Tribolium castaneum: one gene and its partners. The protein of the gene in region 2 purifies or fractionates together with the protein of the main gene of each other region. This does not show direct contact. Links are inferred from orthologs where the notes say so. Each region holds a gene or a part of one and is shown on either strand. Other genes may lie near its edges. The genes, in order: Phf5a, splicing factor 3B subunit 4, Dhx15 and ATP-dependent RNA helicase DDX42.

Evidence for each region.
Region 1: the proteins of splicing factor 3B subunit 4 (region 2) and Phf5a purify together in Homo sapiens (affinity purification with mass spectrometry; 6 studies listed by BioGRID and IntAct, with this or other methods). This does not show direct contact. The link is inferred for Tribolium castaneum from reciprocal best matches to the Homo sapiens genes SF3B4 and PHF5A.
Region 3: the proteins of splicing factor 3B subunit 4 (region 2) and Dhx15 purify together in Homo sapiens (co-immunoprecipitation; 4 studies listed by BioGRID and IntAct, with this or other methods). This does not show direct contact. The link is inferred for Tribolium castaneum from reciprocal best matches to the Homo sapiens genes SF3B4 and DHX15.
Region 4: the proteins of splicing factor 3B subunit 4 (region 2) and ATP-dependent RNA helicase DDX42 purify together in Homo sapiens (affinity purification with mass spectrometry; 3 studies listed by BioGRID and IntAct, with this or other methods). This does not show direct contact. The link is inferred for Tribolium castaneum from reciprocal best matches to the Homo sapiens genes SF3B4 and DDX42.

What each region holds. Positions count from the first base shown.
Region 1 is NC_087395.1:6,324,536-6,328,245, reverse strand, and holds Phf5a (PHD finger-like domain-containing protein 5A), read left to right. Parts: upstream 1-2,300; 5' UTR 2,301-2,453; intron 2,454-2,494; exon of another isoform or gene 2,495-2,502; 5' UTR 2,503-2,513; coding exon 2,514-2,846; 3' UTR 2,847-2,883; downstream 2,884-3,710. Other genes in the region: uncharacterized protein LOC655475, read right to left, coding at 1,505-1,731, 1,779-1,982, 2,030-2,078.
Region 2 is NC_087395.1:2,320,167-2,323,649, forward strand, and holds the end of splicing factor 3B subunit 4, read left to right. Parts: intron 1-1,473; coding exon 1,474-2,262; 3' UTR 2,263-2,303; downstream 2,304-3,483. UniProt on the Homo sapiens protein: Component of the 17S U2 SnRNP complex of the spliceosome, a large ribonucleoprotein complex that removes introns from transcribed pre-mRNAs.
Region 3 is NC_087397.1:4,419,427-4,424,501, forward strand, and holds the start of Dhx15 (putative pre-mRNA-splicing factor ATP-dependent RNA helicase PRP1), read left to right. Parts: upstream 1-1,810; 5' UTR 1,811-1,977; coding exon 1,978-2,027; intron 2,028-2,080; coding exon 2,081-2,491; intron 2,492-2,828; coding exon 2,829-3,913; intron 3,914-4,650; coding exon 4,651-4,773; intron 4,774-4,829; coding exon 4,830-5,020; intron 5,021-5,071; coding exon 5,072-5,075.
Region 4 is NC_087399.1:9,764,797-9,769,229, reverse strand, and holds the end of ATP-dependent RNA helicase DDX42, read left to right. Parts: intron 1-2,662; coding exon 2,663-3,369; intron 3,370-3,418; coding exon 3,419-3,493; 3' UTR 3,494-3,583; downstream 3,584-4,433. Other genes in the region: endothelin-converting enzyme 2, read left to right, coding at 3,678-3,780. UniProt on the Homo sapiens protein: ATP-dependent RNA helicase that binds to partially double-stranded RNAs (dsRNAs) in order to unwind RNA secondary structures. Unwinding is promoted in the presence of single-strand binding proteins.

The DNA of each region.
Region 1 (3,710 bases), about 4.0 Mb from region 2:
GCATCTAAATCTGGGAACTGTAGCGCATCGAAGTTTGGTGGACTTTTTATAGCCACTTATTCACAACAACTATGTTATACAAAACTTAAATAATAAAGAGAAATTCAGGTTGTATTATTTCCATTTCTTAGGTAATATCGAGGTGTAAACCGTACCCCAAATTTTGTACACCAGATGGTTTCCTGTGGTTTAATCATGATTCCTTCTGATTTTCCCTAAATTTTTAAAGTGATTTCTTTAAAATTTCTTGATTTACTCAATTTTGTACACTGATTTACTTTTCTTATTGCGAAAGATGTCTTGGTTTCATAGCAGTTGTTAATAGTGTTGAGGGAAAAAATTAAATTTAATTAAAAAAAAATAAATCGACCAATTTAGAATCCTGGAGTAATTAAATACGATAACCTGTAAAAACATTTAGGGAGGAGTTTATTAAAATTAGAAATGTAAGTAACACAATTTTTTGAGATCAAACAACTATTATTTTGAAACGTGTTTTTGGCTTTTTCGTTAAATACAAAGTTCAAATTCTTTTAAGGAATGAATTCACTGTTGAAGCGCCAGCACCTTCTTCGAAATGTCCATAAGAGATGCTATATTCGGCGCAATCTAAAAGCCTTTCTCATTCCAATGTTCAGTTGAATTTAGGGACGATCTGATTTATTTTTACGTGAGTGAAGCACAAGTTTGAAGGTTTCATGGTATCTGTACACATAAACAGTAATAACCAGGGTGAAATTGTAGACAATCACCGAATTTATTGTTCTGATTCACCAATTTTTCAAACGTGAGAAAATCTTGACACTTTTGACGTACATTTTTGAATTTTGATGGTGGAGCCATCTGTAGAGTGTATAATCGTTATTGTTGCCCTGTCAAGGTCCGTGTCGCTACTTTAGTATATCTACTGGCTTTGGTAAAGTAAAAATAATACATGCACAATCAATAATAGAATCTCAAAATTATGTAGAGAGTGTGGAATTCCACATTTTGAGTTTTACATTTTTGAGTTTAATTGTTGGAGGGGTATGTTTCCTTTTAGTTCGCTGGGGCGAAGCCCTAGCCTGCAAGCTAGCTACTGAGCGTGTATTATTTAAACTGTGCAAACTGAACAAGATACTGTGCATATACGATTTTTGTACTGGACAAATTTTAATAAAATACTGTGCGTGGTTTACTTGTCATTTAAATTTTTTACTGTGCAAAAATTATTAAAATACTGATCACTTATTATTTTTTACTGATCAAAATCGAATTTATTACTACCTAATATTTCTGAGCTTATTCAAATATTATGCAACCAACATTACACACATTCATTTCGGAAAAGTACTATTTTACGGACAATTAGTCAAGAGAAACATTCTTCACTTCAAGGAAGATGTGGTTTAAATACTCTTAGATGTAACATGTAGCTTCGCAGCAAAGATATTTTCAATAAAATTTTGAAACTCAAATCTCTTTATTTAAGATAAATCAATACAAAAATACCACTTATAAGGGTTTAATAAAAATCAATGTCCGGCAGTGAAATGTGCTCACTTTCATCGGTCATGTCGTAACTGTCTTCAGACTTTACAGAAAACTTGATAGTTTTCGGAATCTTAATAAACATATCAAAATCAACAGGTGATAACTTTGGAGATGGAGTCAACTCCTTGTAACCACAACATGGTCGCAGCTTGTTGAATTTTTCCTTTGCAGTAATTAATTTATCAGCAGCGCAATCATCTAAAACCAGAAATCAGATTTCGTCACACACAAATCTCGGTGAAAACCGTTCATATCCTTGAAGGAGTAAGTGTCGTAAATAAATAAGTCATCATCTTCTATGTCAATATTTTGCTCAGGCTTTTTCAGTTGCGGCTCGGGTTTCACATTTCTGCCAAAATCAGGCGTGTTTGCATTCACGGCTCGATCAAAAAACGGTTTTCTTGATAGGGTGTTAGTGGTTCTTGGCTTTTTTGCCACACTTCCAACGTCTAAAAACGACACTTGAAGATTATTTCACCGAACATCAAATACTCACTTTCTTGGGAGAAAACGTGGATTGCGGGTGAGGAAAACATCGAATTCATTGTTGAAATCGCTTCAGTTTCGGCAAATTGGAGCCTAACGTTCAAAGGGAATCAATCACTTTTTGATTTTTTATAGTAGTGTTGCCAACTTAACGAACTCAGCAACTTGATGAAATGAAATTACTAGTGTCTGGTGTCAAAATTTAAATTTATTTATTTATTTGTTGAATGTGGTCACGATTCTTAAGTTATATAGAAATTAGTTTGTGCTTCCGTAATACTCAAATCAAAATTCGACAATTAATTAATCATTTGACACGAAAATAAGAACGTCTAGCTGGCGTAACTGTCGACACTTCCAGTTCAACTGTCAACTGTTGTACACATAACCTAACAAATCTCGAAACAAAGCTCAACGTTTTCTCACGTTTTACGGTAAGTTCCTGAGTTTGGAATAACAGTATTGTTGAAACAAGATTTGTAGATCACTGAAGCATGGCCAAGCATCACCCCGATTTGATTTTTTGTCGCAAGCAGCCGGGGGTGGCCATAGGGAGGCTCTGTGAGAAGTGTGACGGAAAATGCGTTATTTGCGATTCGTACGTGCGTCCCTGCACTTTAGTGAGGATTTGTGACGAGTGTAACTACGGTTCGTATCAGGGCAGATGCGTGATTTGTGGAGGTCCAGGTATTTCAGACGCTTACTACTGTAAGGAATGCACAATTCAGGAGAAAGACAGGGATGGGTGCCCCAAAATTGTGAATCTGGGTAGTTCGAAGACTGACCTCTTCTATGAGCGTAAGAAATACGGGTTTAAGCGGCGCTAATGTGATTTTGTGTAATTAAAATAAATCATAAAATTTATTATCAGTCAGTCAATTTTCCTGTTATCATATTAAAAAAAATCTTTTTTTTAATTTTGTTTTTGCACTGTTTTCCTAGTTTTCTATAATGAAAAAATCAAGGAAAAAAAGTAGTTTAACGCGCGAGGCAATTCCGAGTATGATAATGTTTGTGAATAGACAAAATTTCATATTCATGTGTGCCATCTACAATATTTTTTACTGCCATCATATGATTTTGATAATGGCAGCGGCTTTTTGTCTTCGAAAAAATGACAAAAATTGACATGTTTTGAAGGATTTATTAGTGTCAGCGTCATATGTTATCAGCTTTGTTCGCGGAAGGTTTTTAGAACTAATCCTGAACTAGTCCAGGATTTATTTAAAGCGCGTGTGCGCTTCAGATTCAGTTACGGACTTTCGTCTACCGCGAACAATATTTTATCGTTATCAAGTTCTTAGTGAATGTTTAGAAACAAACAAGCCACCAAAAATTATCATAAAGTTAGAAATGGTATAAGTTATTGAACACAACCCATTTTTAAGTTTACAAACGTTATTTTTTTAATAATTTTGGTTTAGTAAGGTATTAAATAAATCTCGATAACCAAGACAGACTATTTCTTTATTGTGATTCAAACCCATTTCCTACGTCAGAAAGCTTCAAAGACACGAGAGTAACAGAGACAAATACGTTTAAGTCTAGAACTAAAAATCCTACGTCCGAGGATCGTTTGAATTGGTTCTGAACCGATCCTGGACAAAAGATTCTCTACCGCGATTTTTGGGATTTTTTTCGGTGACCAGAAATAAGTCCACATGAAAAATGCGCACAGGAAAAAGCTCACA
Region 2 (3,483 bases):
TTCTTAACTTGAGGTCATTTTTTGCCCCTAATTGAAAGACAACCTCCTAAAATATGTGCATTCTAATTTGATAACAATCCGGTGACAAATAACGGAATTGTATATTGAAATGAAATATTGCTTTGTAACATCCTTCATGGCCTTAATAATTATAGACATATGGTAGCGCTCAGCTCCATTTGCGTGTGCGTCATCTGACATTTCTGTCACTACGTTTACATAGCAGGGGCATAGCGGTGACAAACTATCAAATATTTTTTGAGGTTACGAAGTGTTTAAATTATGAGTTGTTACAAAAAATACAGATTCACAAAACAAGAACTAATAAACGCAGAATCAAAAACCTAACGAAACGCAAATCACAAAACACAATAAACGAACAGAAAATACTTGTGATTAACACCGATAACATTTTCGACAACCAAGCGACGACGTCTGTAATTTACTGTCAATGTCAGTTTGACAAATTCGTGACACTTGACGGTGTTGTCGAAGTGCACATGTAAATCAATGTTCAAGGATACCACCCTTAGATAGCCCTTAACTGTTTAAATTTGCATTGTTTTTGATAATTTTTTTATAGCTTTGTGTTGGTAATGAAAAAATGAAATTGATGACGCACACGCAAATCGAGCTGACCGCCACTATACCTAACTAGGCAGAAAAATATCGATAATTTCTTATTTCTTTTTCTTTCTTTTCTTTTTTCTCGTTAATTTTTGTAGTGCGCTTTCACTTTTGCACCAAGCAATGGGCCACTCTGAATTATTAATGTTATTATTGTTATTTAAATATTGAAAACAAAAGTTTTTGTCTACTATATTTTGTAAAAGTATTTGGAAACGATAGGAACAAAACAAAATAACTAAGTTAAGTGTGAAATGTATTATTTTCTTGTAAATTTACATTTTTAAAAAATTTAAAAATTTAAAAATAATTATTAATCGTTTTGTTAGGAAACGATTACTTACTGTGAAACATAAAAACATTAAAAAATAATGAAAAGTAAAGAAGTTAAATACAATAAGTTTGTAGCTCTAGATTTTTTAAAATATGACTTTAGGAATTTTTTCAACATTTTTCCCGTAATCTACACTTGCTTCTCAATAACGTACCACTGAGTTGGTGCGCCAGTTTTTGAGGACCCTGTATAACCGAATTTCAAGATCTCAAATTTTTTCGTTGTCCGCTTCGCATGAAAAGCCCCAATTGTTAAATCAGGTGTAAGTGCCTTGTATTGCTTTATGCGACAGATTTAGGGATTCTCATGTATTGAAAAAAATTACCTATACGAGCATTCTTCCTTCAAAATTTATTTATTTATTTTTATTTATAATTTTGCTAATCTCTGTATGTTATTTATCAGTTGAGTTATTTGTCTCACTCCATTTGGTAAAATTAAACGTTCAGCTTCTCCACATACCAATCTATTTTTTTTTTCAAACGTTTTTTTTATATTTTTTAATATTGTAGATAATGAGAGACCCCGACACTGGCAATTCCAAAGGCTTCGCTTTCATCAACTTTGCAAGTTTCGAAGCATCTGACGCCTCAATCGAAGCAATGAACGGCCAATACCTCTGCAACCGCCCCATTTCCGTCTCCTACGCCTTCAAGAAAGACTCCAAAGGCGAACGTCACGGCTCCGCAGCCGAGCGTCTCCTCGCAGCCCAAAACCCCCTCTCCCAAGCCGACCGCCCCCATCAACTATTCGCCGACGCCCCTCCCATGGGCATGATGCCCCCAGGAATGACTCTCGCTCCGCCCCCACCTCCCGTAATCCTCGCTGGAATGATGCCTCCACCACCCCCCACTCCGGCAAGTATGCAACCTCCTCCACCCCCACCAGTTCCTCCACCCAGTTCTTTCCCCTCGGGGATCCCCCCTCCGCCATTACCTCCCTCCCAACCGCCCTTGCCACCAGGTGCACCTCCACCGCCTCCAACCTCCGCCGCTGGAGCACGGCCCCCTCTGCCACCAATGCCTGCCTCAACGCAAGCTTCAGGCGCCCCCAGGATGATACCACCTCCGTGGCAAGGTGGAGGTGGGTTACCGCCACCACCACCTGGACCGCCAAACTCGGCAGCGCCCCCAACGTCAGGTGCACCGCCGTTCCCGGGATGTTTCCCGCCGCCACCGCCTCCAGGGGGGCGGCCCCCGAATTGGAGGCCGCCGGTTAATTTTGGTGGAGGGAGACCACCGTTCCCACCAAGGGGACCTCCACCACCACCTCCGAATAATTTTAGCGAAAATAATTGGTAAAAACAATAATACAATAAAGTCAAGGTGAATTTTTTTATTTCGTTTTGTGTCTTGTTTTTTGGATTTTCCTATTATTATCCTTTTTATTATTGTCACTATTTCCAGTAAATGGTATTGTGGTACCAGGGGCTTGATATCCTAATTCCTCAAAACTTAATGTTTCTAGTGAAAGTAGAATATGTATCATTGGCAATTTTCGTTTAACAACTATTTGGTCTAAATCAGGAATAACTGGATCCCAAAATTCTTCTACTCTGCAAAATTGTAAAATATGATGCAATTTCTGATCCAAGTCGTCTTAGGCTGAAATTAAGTTGGTGACACTCTTAGTGGCGTTTGCCATGCAATGTCACCAACTTATTTTAAGTCATGTCAGCGGAAATTTTTAATTGAAAACAAACTTACACCCTATAACACAGTTTCGTTATTTGGTGTAACTGATTATTGTGTTCCCGTTTCATAATTTCAGCACATGTTACAGTTTTACCAACAGATTGTCCAAATCCTGTCCACACAACGGCTTTAGCACTTGGAAATTCATTTAATGCGTGACTTACAAGATTCCTTATTTTACTTCCACCCCTCACCTAAAACAATGAAATAAAATTAATGTGAATTTTGTAATTACGTTTATTACCTGCATCCATAAAAAATTTTCAGGAAGGTTAGGAATTGGAATTTTGTCCCTTTCGAGAGGTTCTTCCACGTTTTTACCTTTGTGGTAATTCTCCATTTATGGTTTTGAAATGAATCAAAAATACAGTTGATAAATAATGTGGCAAAAAGTGAGGTTAATTGAGAGCAGAGCACCACTTCTCGTTCACTCTATTTCTCACAAGTGAGACAGTTGGAAAAATTACAGTGCATCAGCAAAGTACTGTGTCCATACCACGACCGATGTCGTACAAAAAAAGATTGGATGAATACGGGGTGTTTTAAAATCAACAACTGAATTTTATTTTATTTAAAAGTAAATTTCTCACAAAAAATTTTAGTGCTTAGTGCCTGTTTGGTTAATTTATTTTGTTTACTCATTTTTTTCCATTTATCTTTGATCTTTTTTTTTTAGTAACTTTAATGTTAAACAATTTATTATTGGCAATTCCAACGGAGATCACAATTCAAAAAAAGCAGCTTCAAATTTTTTGTACTTTCTTCCTCGCGACTACCATAAACAATTACTTTCAATTATACGGACTTACCTTAAAATCATTTATTTCT
Region 3 (5,075 bases), on a different chromosome or scaffold from region 2:
TGTTTGCAATTTTCCAAAATGAACAGGTTTTTGCGTCTGGAGGGGCGAAAAGCACACTTTACGAGTTCCATTTTTGTAACGACGAGGAGTCAAAACAGTCTTATGCTTGACCATCGGCTGATTAGCTCTTAGTTAGCTTTGTATGTTTTTTAAGGAAATTTACTCTTACTGTAATATTTTAAGGGGTGAACCTGGAGACAATTCCTGCATATATTTTGAAAACCTTGCTTATGATTTGTCAATTAGAGCTAATATTACGAATAAAACTTAGATAAAGAAGATGTTGAATTGAGATTATTATGTAGCAATTAATCCAGGCCAAACCTAAAGTGACTGTCAGTTGTGAATGTGACTGTAATTAGGTACGTAACGAGCCTATGATTGAAATAATTTTGATCTGAAGTTGTTTCGATCGTATAATACCCCAATCAACAGACCGGGTCTGTCCGCCTAATTTAAAGTGCTAAGAGAATAAAATCGTGGGTCTACATGCACAGGTGTCTGATTCTCTTCCTGAATTTATTTAATTCTGAAGTGCCTCTTTGCCTTTTCTTTATGAATTAATAAACTGTAAGACGTAAATGTAAATTTTAACATAATTTACTCCCAAACGACAAATATTTTTGATAAAAGAACGTCACATTATTATTGGCTTTTGAGAAATAGTACAAAAAACTTGAAATTATTTTTGTGTCAGCGTACACGAACCACAAAATTGTAACGAAATTTTACACCCTTTATTACACACGCGGTCTCGTAAATTTATTGTAAAAGTGAATATTCGAAAATCTGGAAGTACTTCAGAATGATATTCGATTTTTCCCGTAGTTCAGTAACACTGCACAAGTTCAAAGCACGTGTGTGTTTGAACTTGTGAGTAAGGTACAAGAATTGTAAATTTATCCGTATTTACATCAGTTTAGCTTAAGATCCTTGTTCTTCCTTAAGTGGTTAAAGTGAATAGACTTCATCGAATTACTGTTTAAAATAGAAACTGTTGGACTAAAATTTCGTTTTGATCGTTGTAGATATTAGGAGATAAGTTCGGCTTTTATTTAGTTTAGTTAAATAAATATCTAGGAAATGTTAATCAAAATATACGATTATTATATGATATAGTGAAATATATCGTAACAGTAGATGTCTTAAAATCGATTTCTTTCTGTTATCTGTTATTGCGTTCAGTCAGCAAAAGAGCAATGTCCGTAAATTACCAAATATGCAATACATCACATGCATATCGAGAACTACAATCACAAGAGCCAACCATCACTACTGATTTGCCAACAAAATGAGCTTTTTAAATGATACGGTTAAATGTGGTAATAGACTTAAGATTTCTTAAACTGTATTAATTTTTTACTATTCTTTGTATAACAAGATGGCCAGACGGCACTAACACACTTCATAAACATGTAACTGTGTAAAATTTTAATTAAAAAGTGACGATAGGATTAACAAATTTCATACGTGCTGTACTATAAATGTATTAATTAATTAAAATATATTTTAAATTCAGGGCACAATTAATTACATTACTACTATTTTCGCATCAGAGGCATGTCCCATAAAACAACTTATGCGAAAAATTTTACATGAAGTCGGTTTAAAAAGTTGCAATTAATATGTTTCTCCCCAGAATCAGCAATATTCGCGCAGTACACATAATTTTGACTGACTAAAAACCAAATTATATTATTGTTATAAAGTTTAATTAATAAATTGTTATACGGTGTACAATAATTTCGTGGTTTCATTTTTCCCCTTAATTTTCCAAAAAATTTAAACTCCCGCTTTCGGTCGCCATGCAAATAAACGTCAATAAAACGGCAGCGCTCTGCTCTATCGACCGTGCAAAGTTGCATGGAGTCGTGGTCGTAGTTTTATTTCCAAACAAACTTTAATGCAATTTATTTTTATTTGTTAACAAGTAGACAATTCGAGAGCTTGTTACTATTAGCCGTAGTCTATCTAACAATGTCTAAAAGGAGAATCGAAGTGTTGGATCCGTTTATAAAGAAGAAAAGGTGAGTAACCACAAATGTCACTCAGCCACATTTTCCGCCTCGTGATATTTCAGGGAAGAACGTGGGATTAGCACTGCAGTAACGAACACCCCGCAAGTAACCAACGCCTCAATCAACCCGCACACCGGTTTGCCGTACACCAATAAGTACCATGAGTTGTATCGCAAACGCATCACGCTTCCTGTCTTTGAATACCGCAACGATTTCATGCGTTTGCTCGCCGAAAACCAGTGCATTGTGCTGGTTGGCGAGACAGGGTCGGGGAAAACGACGCAAATTCCACAGTGGTGCGTTGAATTCGCCAGGTCGGTCGGGAAAAAGGGGGTGTGCTGCACCCAGCCCAGGAGGGTGGCTGCCATGTCTGTGGCCCAGAGAGTGTCAGAGGAAATGGACGTCGCCTTGGGGCAAGAGGTGGGCTACAGCATTCGGTTCGAGGACTGCTCGTCGGCCAAAACTATCCTCAAGTAAGAGGGGCTATAAATATTTTCCAGAAACTCTTGTCTTCTTCCCCAATTATGATTATTCCTTGTGAAAAACTAGTTTTTTCCTCGCCGAATTCTATTAAACCTTGTTTTCTGAGGTTTTATTATTTTCAAAATACTCTTTTTCTCTTTTGGACTTAAATTATTGTTTTTTTTTTGAGAAATTTTAATGAATCAGACAGAAAAGTCAGTAAATTGGGTTTGAAATAAAAAAAAAATTGTCGTTTTCGAGCTTTTTATTACGTTTATCATATATTTACAAAAGCAGTTAAGTTAAATTAAGTTAAAGCATAAAAATTACAACTGTGTGATTTAATAGGTACATGACCGACGGTATGTTGCTCCGTGAGGGCATGAGCGACCCAATGCTGGACGCCTACCAGTGCATTTTGCTCGACGAAGCCCACGAGCGCACCCTTGCCACCGACATTCTGATGGGTGTTTTAAAAGAAGTTATTAAACAACGCTCCGACTTGAAATTAGTTATTATGTCGGCGACTCTAGACGCTGGCAAATTCCAGCAATATTTCGATAACGCTCCCTTAATGAACGTCCCCGGTCGTACGCATCCAGTAGAAATTTTCTATACTCCCGAACCGGAACGCGATTATCTCGAAGCCGCCATCCGTACCGTCATCCAAATCCACATGTGTGAGGAAATAGCCGGCGATATTCTCCTATTTTTGACCGGTCAGGAGGAAATCGAAGTTGCTTGCAAACGAATCAAACGCGAAATTGATAATCTGGGCCCCGAAGTGGGCGAACTAAAATGTATCCCGTTGTATTCGACGCTGCCTCCGAATTTGCAGCAACGTATTTTCGAGGAGGCGCCCCCTAATAAGGCCAATGGGGCGATCGGACGCAAAGTTGTCGTCTCGACCAACATTGCGGAGACTTCCTTGACTATAGACGGTGTCGTGTTTGTGATAGATCCCGGATTTGCGAAACAAAAAGTCTACAATCCTCGAATTCGTGTCGAGTCGTTATTGGTCTCGCCGATTAGTAAAGCCTCAGCACAGCAGCGTGCCGGAAGAGCTGGAAGGACTCGGCCGGGGAAATGTTTCCGACTTTACACCGAAAAAGCATACAAGAACGAAATGCAAGACAACACCTATCCAGAAATTTTACGATCGAATTTGGGTTCGGTCGTTTTACAATTGAAGAAACTGGGAATTGATGATTTGGTTCATTTTGACTTCATGGATCCACCGGCGCCTGAAACCTTGATGAGGGCCTTGGAATTGTTGAATTATTTGGCGGCGTTGGATGATGATGGAAATCTCACCGATTTGGGGGCGGTTATGGCCGAGTTTCCGCTCGATCCACAATTGGCGAAAATGCTCATTGCCAGCTGCAACCACAACTGTTCCAATGAGATACTGTCCATTACGGCGATGTTGTCAGGTATTTATTTTATTAACGTTTTTCTGAAGCAGGCCCTCAGCCCTTGCTTTAAACGTCGATTTGGTTATTTATTCCGATTAGACTCATTCAAAATAATTTTTTCATTTTCACTGTTTTGGTTTATTTAATTGGCAGCGTTGAATGTACTTTCACTACTTGCCACATAACAAACCTCAAAAGAATTAAAGGTTCCCATTTTTAAACGATTTTACCACAGTATTTATGCTTGGAGACTAATAAGTAATAAATTATATTTTTGATTTTGTGGTAGTTGATGCCGAATAATAGTCGGAGCAAAAAACCATTATCGTTATTAATGAACTAAATTTTTTGTTGAATATACGACTCAGCCAATTTCCGAAACCTCCGTAATCAATAATTCAAACGCTTGTGCAAAACAATATTTTTTAAAATGTTTATTAGATGCATCTTAATGTTGATTTTGTTTAATGAAGAATGAAAGTGGTTTGTTGTCCATGAATTTTACTTTATCAACTGCTACCTGTTTATTGGTCTGTTGTCACGCGGGTTCGTGTTATTCGGAACGATTTTCGAGCAAAACCGCTAGTAATATAGCTAATAAATGCTTGAAATAACAGACATTGAACAGAACAGAACACCACAATGTTGTGGTTTGTTTTGCTCGAGTCGTTCTGACTAAGGTAGCTCTGTAGGAAACGCTTGAGAGCGCAACTATATTGGTTGGATACGGGCAACTGCCCTGCTCCAATGTTTAGTCCCACAGTGCTTCATCCGACCAAATGAGGCGAAGAAAGCGGCCGACGATGCAAAAATGAGATTCGCGCATATTGACGGGGACCATTTGACGCTGCTCAATGTCTACCATGCTTTCAAACAAAGTAAGTTTTTGCGAGTTTTACCAAGTAATTGTGTTTGACTGGTGTGTTTGGGTTAGGTATGGAAGATCCACAATGGTGCTATGATAACTTTGTCAATTACCGTTCCTTGAAATCTGCCGATAACGTGAGACAACAGTTGTCAAGAATTATGGACCGGTTTAATCTCAAGCGAACTTCGACAGATTTCACCAGCAAGGATTATTATATTAATATAAGGAAGGCTTTAGTTAACGGGTTTTTCATGCAGGTAATAATAAATTTCTTAGTGATGATTGTAGTACATTGTTTTGAACTCGAGGTGG
Region 4 (4,433 bases), on a different chromosome or scaffold from region 2:
CGAATGTATTAGGATTGGCAATAAAGTTGCTCCGACTACGGAAAACTATAGCTTAGAAGACGAAACTAGGTACAAAATTGCAAGATTTTCTGAATCCAAAAAAATAGTAGGGCGGAGCAAAAATGAGGGCGCTTAAAGCAATATATACCTCTCGGTTTTAACTTAATTTAAATCCAACCAGTTCTCTAATTACTTAAAAAAATACACAAATGTTGAGCTTTGCACTCCTAATAGACTGAGAAAAAGTGACGACTAAAATTTTTATTGGGAACATGAGAGAAAAGTTTTTTTAGTTTAAAATGTGCGCCTTGTCTCGGATTTAGTTAAAGATACAAGAAAAGCTTTAGGAAGAAAGTTGTAGAAAATTAAATTTTCTTTAAGAGATCATATTTCTATCGTCAACAGTTTTGCTGTTGATTATTGTATTGTAAATGCATGCCAGAATATAATGTAGACCAAGCAGAAAAGGAATCTTGGAAGCAGTTTTTTCAAAGAGAAAGTGATTTTATTGCTCGTAGAAATATTTATGGACTGATAAAATTTATTTAAAAATAAATTGATTAAAAAACTCATTTCAAGGAAATTTACAGCAGGTTAAAACCAAATTCGACAATTTGAAAAACAGGCATAAAAATACGTGCAGGCAATAATAAATGGATACGGGGAGAAAAAGCAAAGATTTGGATTTCGCAATTATAGCAAAAATACAGGAAAAAAACGAAGGTTATAGTGGAGTTACTAAAAAAATAAGTTAAAAAATTGCGGTATATTGACAACACCAAAAAGATGAAGCTTCCGGAATTGTAAATAAAAATAAAATAATAAAAACAACGTTAAATGGTAATTAATAATTTTTAGAGTCTAGTAAAGTTTCTAAGTTTTTCTAACTTAGCAGCATTTGCGTTTTCTTTTTCTTCAAAATATCTTGGTTCTCTAAACCATTCTCTTTATCAATACCTTCTACCATGGTACCATCTATGTATTTATTTGCTAAACTTTTATATGAAATCCAGTGTAACACTATTTGAAGAAAAATGTACTTTTTTAGTTGTTGCTCTCACTTTTTGTATAAAAAATTCAAATTGATTAGAATAGGTGTTTTTGAAAAATGTACTTCAGCGTTTTCATATAACACTAATGAAGTCTACTTTAATAAATTATTACAAATTCAAATGTTTACATCTTTACTCTCAAAAAACGTACTGCTACTTTCTATTACGTTTCGTTCGTTTATTTTTTTGCAAATTTAATAAGTTATTTAATTACGTTACCGTGATGGAATAGCAATTCCAGAAGTTTGTCCAGATAATGAAGAGTTATGATTGAATATGGATCAACTCCTTGACGATATTGATTTGCTGAACAAGACAATAAAACTTTTCCATAAAAGTGATCAAACTGATGTTCCAACTATGCTATGTAGTTTTTTAAAAGGCATGTTTGCCTAATACTCGTATTTTTAAAATTGGAATTAAAAATATATTTTTAAAATGGAATATAAAAATTATAAATGGATTCTAGAATTAATTTCGAAAGGAATTGCTTATTTTTTTTATTTTAACAAAGTTTATAAAGTATCTTCTTGTGGCAAAACATTTGTATATTATTTTGTTTAGTTTAAAAGAGAAACTAGTCTGTTTCGTTTTTTTTTAATTAGACAACTAGATTTAGCGGATTTAAAAAGTATTAATATGGAAGTTGTTCATGCCATAACTTCAAAAATGTTTTTTGAAAAATTGTTTTTTAGTGTCTCATAACTAAACCTTAAAAAATTGAACAATACCAAAGCATCAATTTGTAGCCTAATTATTTTTCTATCGATTAGTCTATTAATTTATTTTTTTACACGACTAGAATAGGTAATAATACGAGTGCGAAAACACAAGCTTTAATCTTGAAGGCTGTCGTTATGCAACGAGCGAATGCGAGTTGTATACCTAGACACCCGAGAACTTTAAGCGTTTTCGTATGAGTGTTACTAAATTTTTTTGTTGAAACATTGCTATGGGAAGCGTGTTTTAAGATAGTGTTTATAATCTAGGATTCAGATACTTAAAATGTTACAAAAAAATATTATTTATTCTTGTTTCGGCCATAAGACTTAGAACAGGGTGTACATTACAAACAATTTCTGGACTGTACAAGAAAAGCTTCAGAAGTATTATCACTGCACTTTGAAAATTGTATTTAGATGAAGAATTGACGTTTTTTTGTTAATTATTGAATTTTCTTTGTTTTTTGGTATTAAAATGTATGTACCACTTTTGAAGTTTTATTTTCGAAAATATCGTTATGTAACATTTATTCTTTTGATATTGCTATTTCGAAAATTACGGGTTTCCACCTGTTCGAGCATTTTTGCCACAACAAAATATTTTTATAATTTTGCCTATGTTTTTTTTATCGTTCTTATTTCTTATTCTTGTTTTATATAGTTGTTTTCATTTATGCACTGAGGTTTTTATTTTACTGAACATAGCACAACACTCTTAATCCTATGTTCACTTTAAAAAAATTCATGTCACTGCATTGCAAACAGTTCTATAAGAAGCCCTAATGTACAACAAAATAAAATCTTCACTTATGTTAACTTTCGACACAATGTAGGCATTTTCATATATTTTTTGTAAAATATTTTGATATCTGGCAACCCTAATTACAGGGCAGGCTAACGAGGATGTGACTCAGAGGGTTCTTTTGATGGAAAACCAACAGTTGAAGAGGGATTGGTTGGTGAATAATTTGGTCGAGTTGTTATCCGCTGGTTCGGTGTTGGTGTTTGTCACGAAGAAAGTTGATGCCGAACAATTGGCCAACGATTTAAAAGTCAAAGAATTCGAATGTTTGTTACTCCACGGTGATATAGAGCAGGCCGAGCGTAACAAGGTTATAACCGCATTCAAGAAAAAAGAATGTAGCTTATTGGTGGCCACGGACGTTGCGGCCCGCGGTCTAGACATCCCCCACATCCGTACGGTGGTTAATTACGACATAGCACGTGATATTGACACGCACACGCACCGGATTGGTCGAACGGGGCGTGCCGGCAATCAAGGCACCGCCTACACGTTAATCACGCCCAAAGATAAGGAATTTGTGGGCCATATTGTTAAAAACTTGGAAGCGGCGCATCAAGACGTACCTCAGGAAGTGCTAGACTTGGCATTGCAAAGTTCATGGTACAGGAAACAGCGATATAAGAGTAAAGGTGGTAACCCGAACGTGGGCGGGGTTGGGCTGGGCTTCAAGGAGAAAGTGGGAGGGGCTTCGAAGACTTTCGTGGGGGAATCACACAGCCAGTCTCGAGGGCCGGCCACTGATCGCTTATCGGCGATGAAAGCGGCTTTCAAAGCCCAATACATGAATCAGGTTAGTTTTTATTTGATATTAAAATTTTGGCAAATCTCTTTGTGATTAGTTTACAGCAAGTTCTGACCCGGTTCCACAAGCTCCGCCCCCCGCCTCCACACGAAAGAAGAGTAGATGGCAGTGATTTTTTTCTAGATTAATGTTGTAGGTGTAATTTTTATGCATGGACTTTTGATTAAAGTTGTTAGTGTTATTAAAGCGATTTCATCCAGAAGTAGTGTTTAGATAATTTGACCGATTTTCCGCCGCCTCCTACATTTTGTCTGCTTAGATAAGCTAAAGGTTAATAAACTGGTTAGTTGAGTGAAATGCTGGCGAAAAGTCTGCTGGTTTTTGCCACACTTGTGCTAATTATTGACGTGCGGAACGCCAGCAAGTTGCCGCTCTTTCCCAAAACGCGGAATTATTCAGGTATTTAGGTTTTTCTGTCATTTTCGGCCGTAATGGAAAAAAATTATCTGGTACACAAACTTGTTTTATTTATTAACCTGAACCAACTATTACAACAGTTTGTTAGATATTGTTTTTAATCAAATCTAAAAGATTAGCTTTATTTACTTTTGGTTTTTTCACTCACAACTTAATCTCATTTTTTGTAACGGATTTTCCTTACAGGTACGTTAAACTTCATTTTTTATTCAAGAGCAGATGTTTTTCCTTTATTTCTAAAATAAATAAATAAAGAGAAATTATTTTACATTATTTTTTTTTTTTCAATCATTTCCACCATAAAAAAACCAATGAAAATTTTGGCTTTTCTTTAAATAAACGCAATTCAAAGTTCTCTTTCAAACCAATGGATCTTCTGTATAAAAGGGTTAGAGAGTTTTCTGTAATACAATATATTATTATAAGTTTTTAAATTAGCGTTGACTAATCATTTCGACGTTTTCAAAAATTGTATCAATTGATTTTTGCGATTTCTTGCTTAAAAACGACAAAATACGCTGTATAAAAGCTAAATTCACTTTATATTGACCGAAAACGACAATTAAAACATTTTTTTACAAATTTCTAAATGTATTTGATTCCATGCGTAAAAAACGTCAGAACTTGTCGAGAAC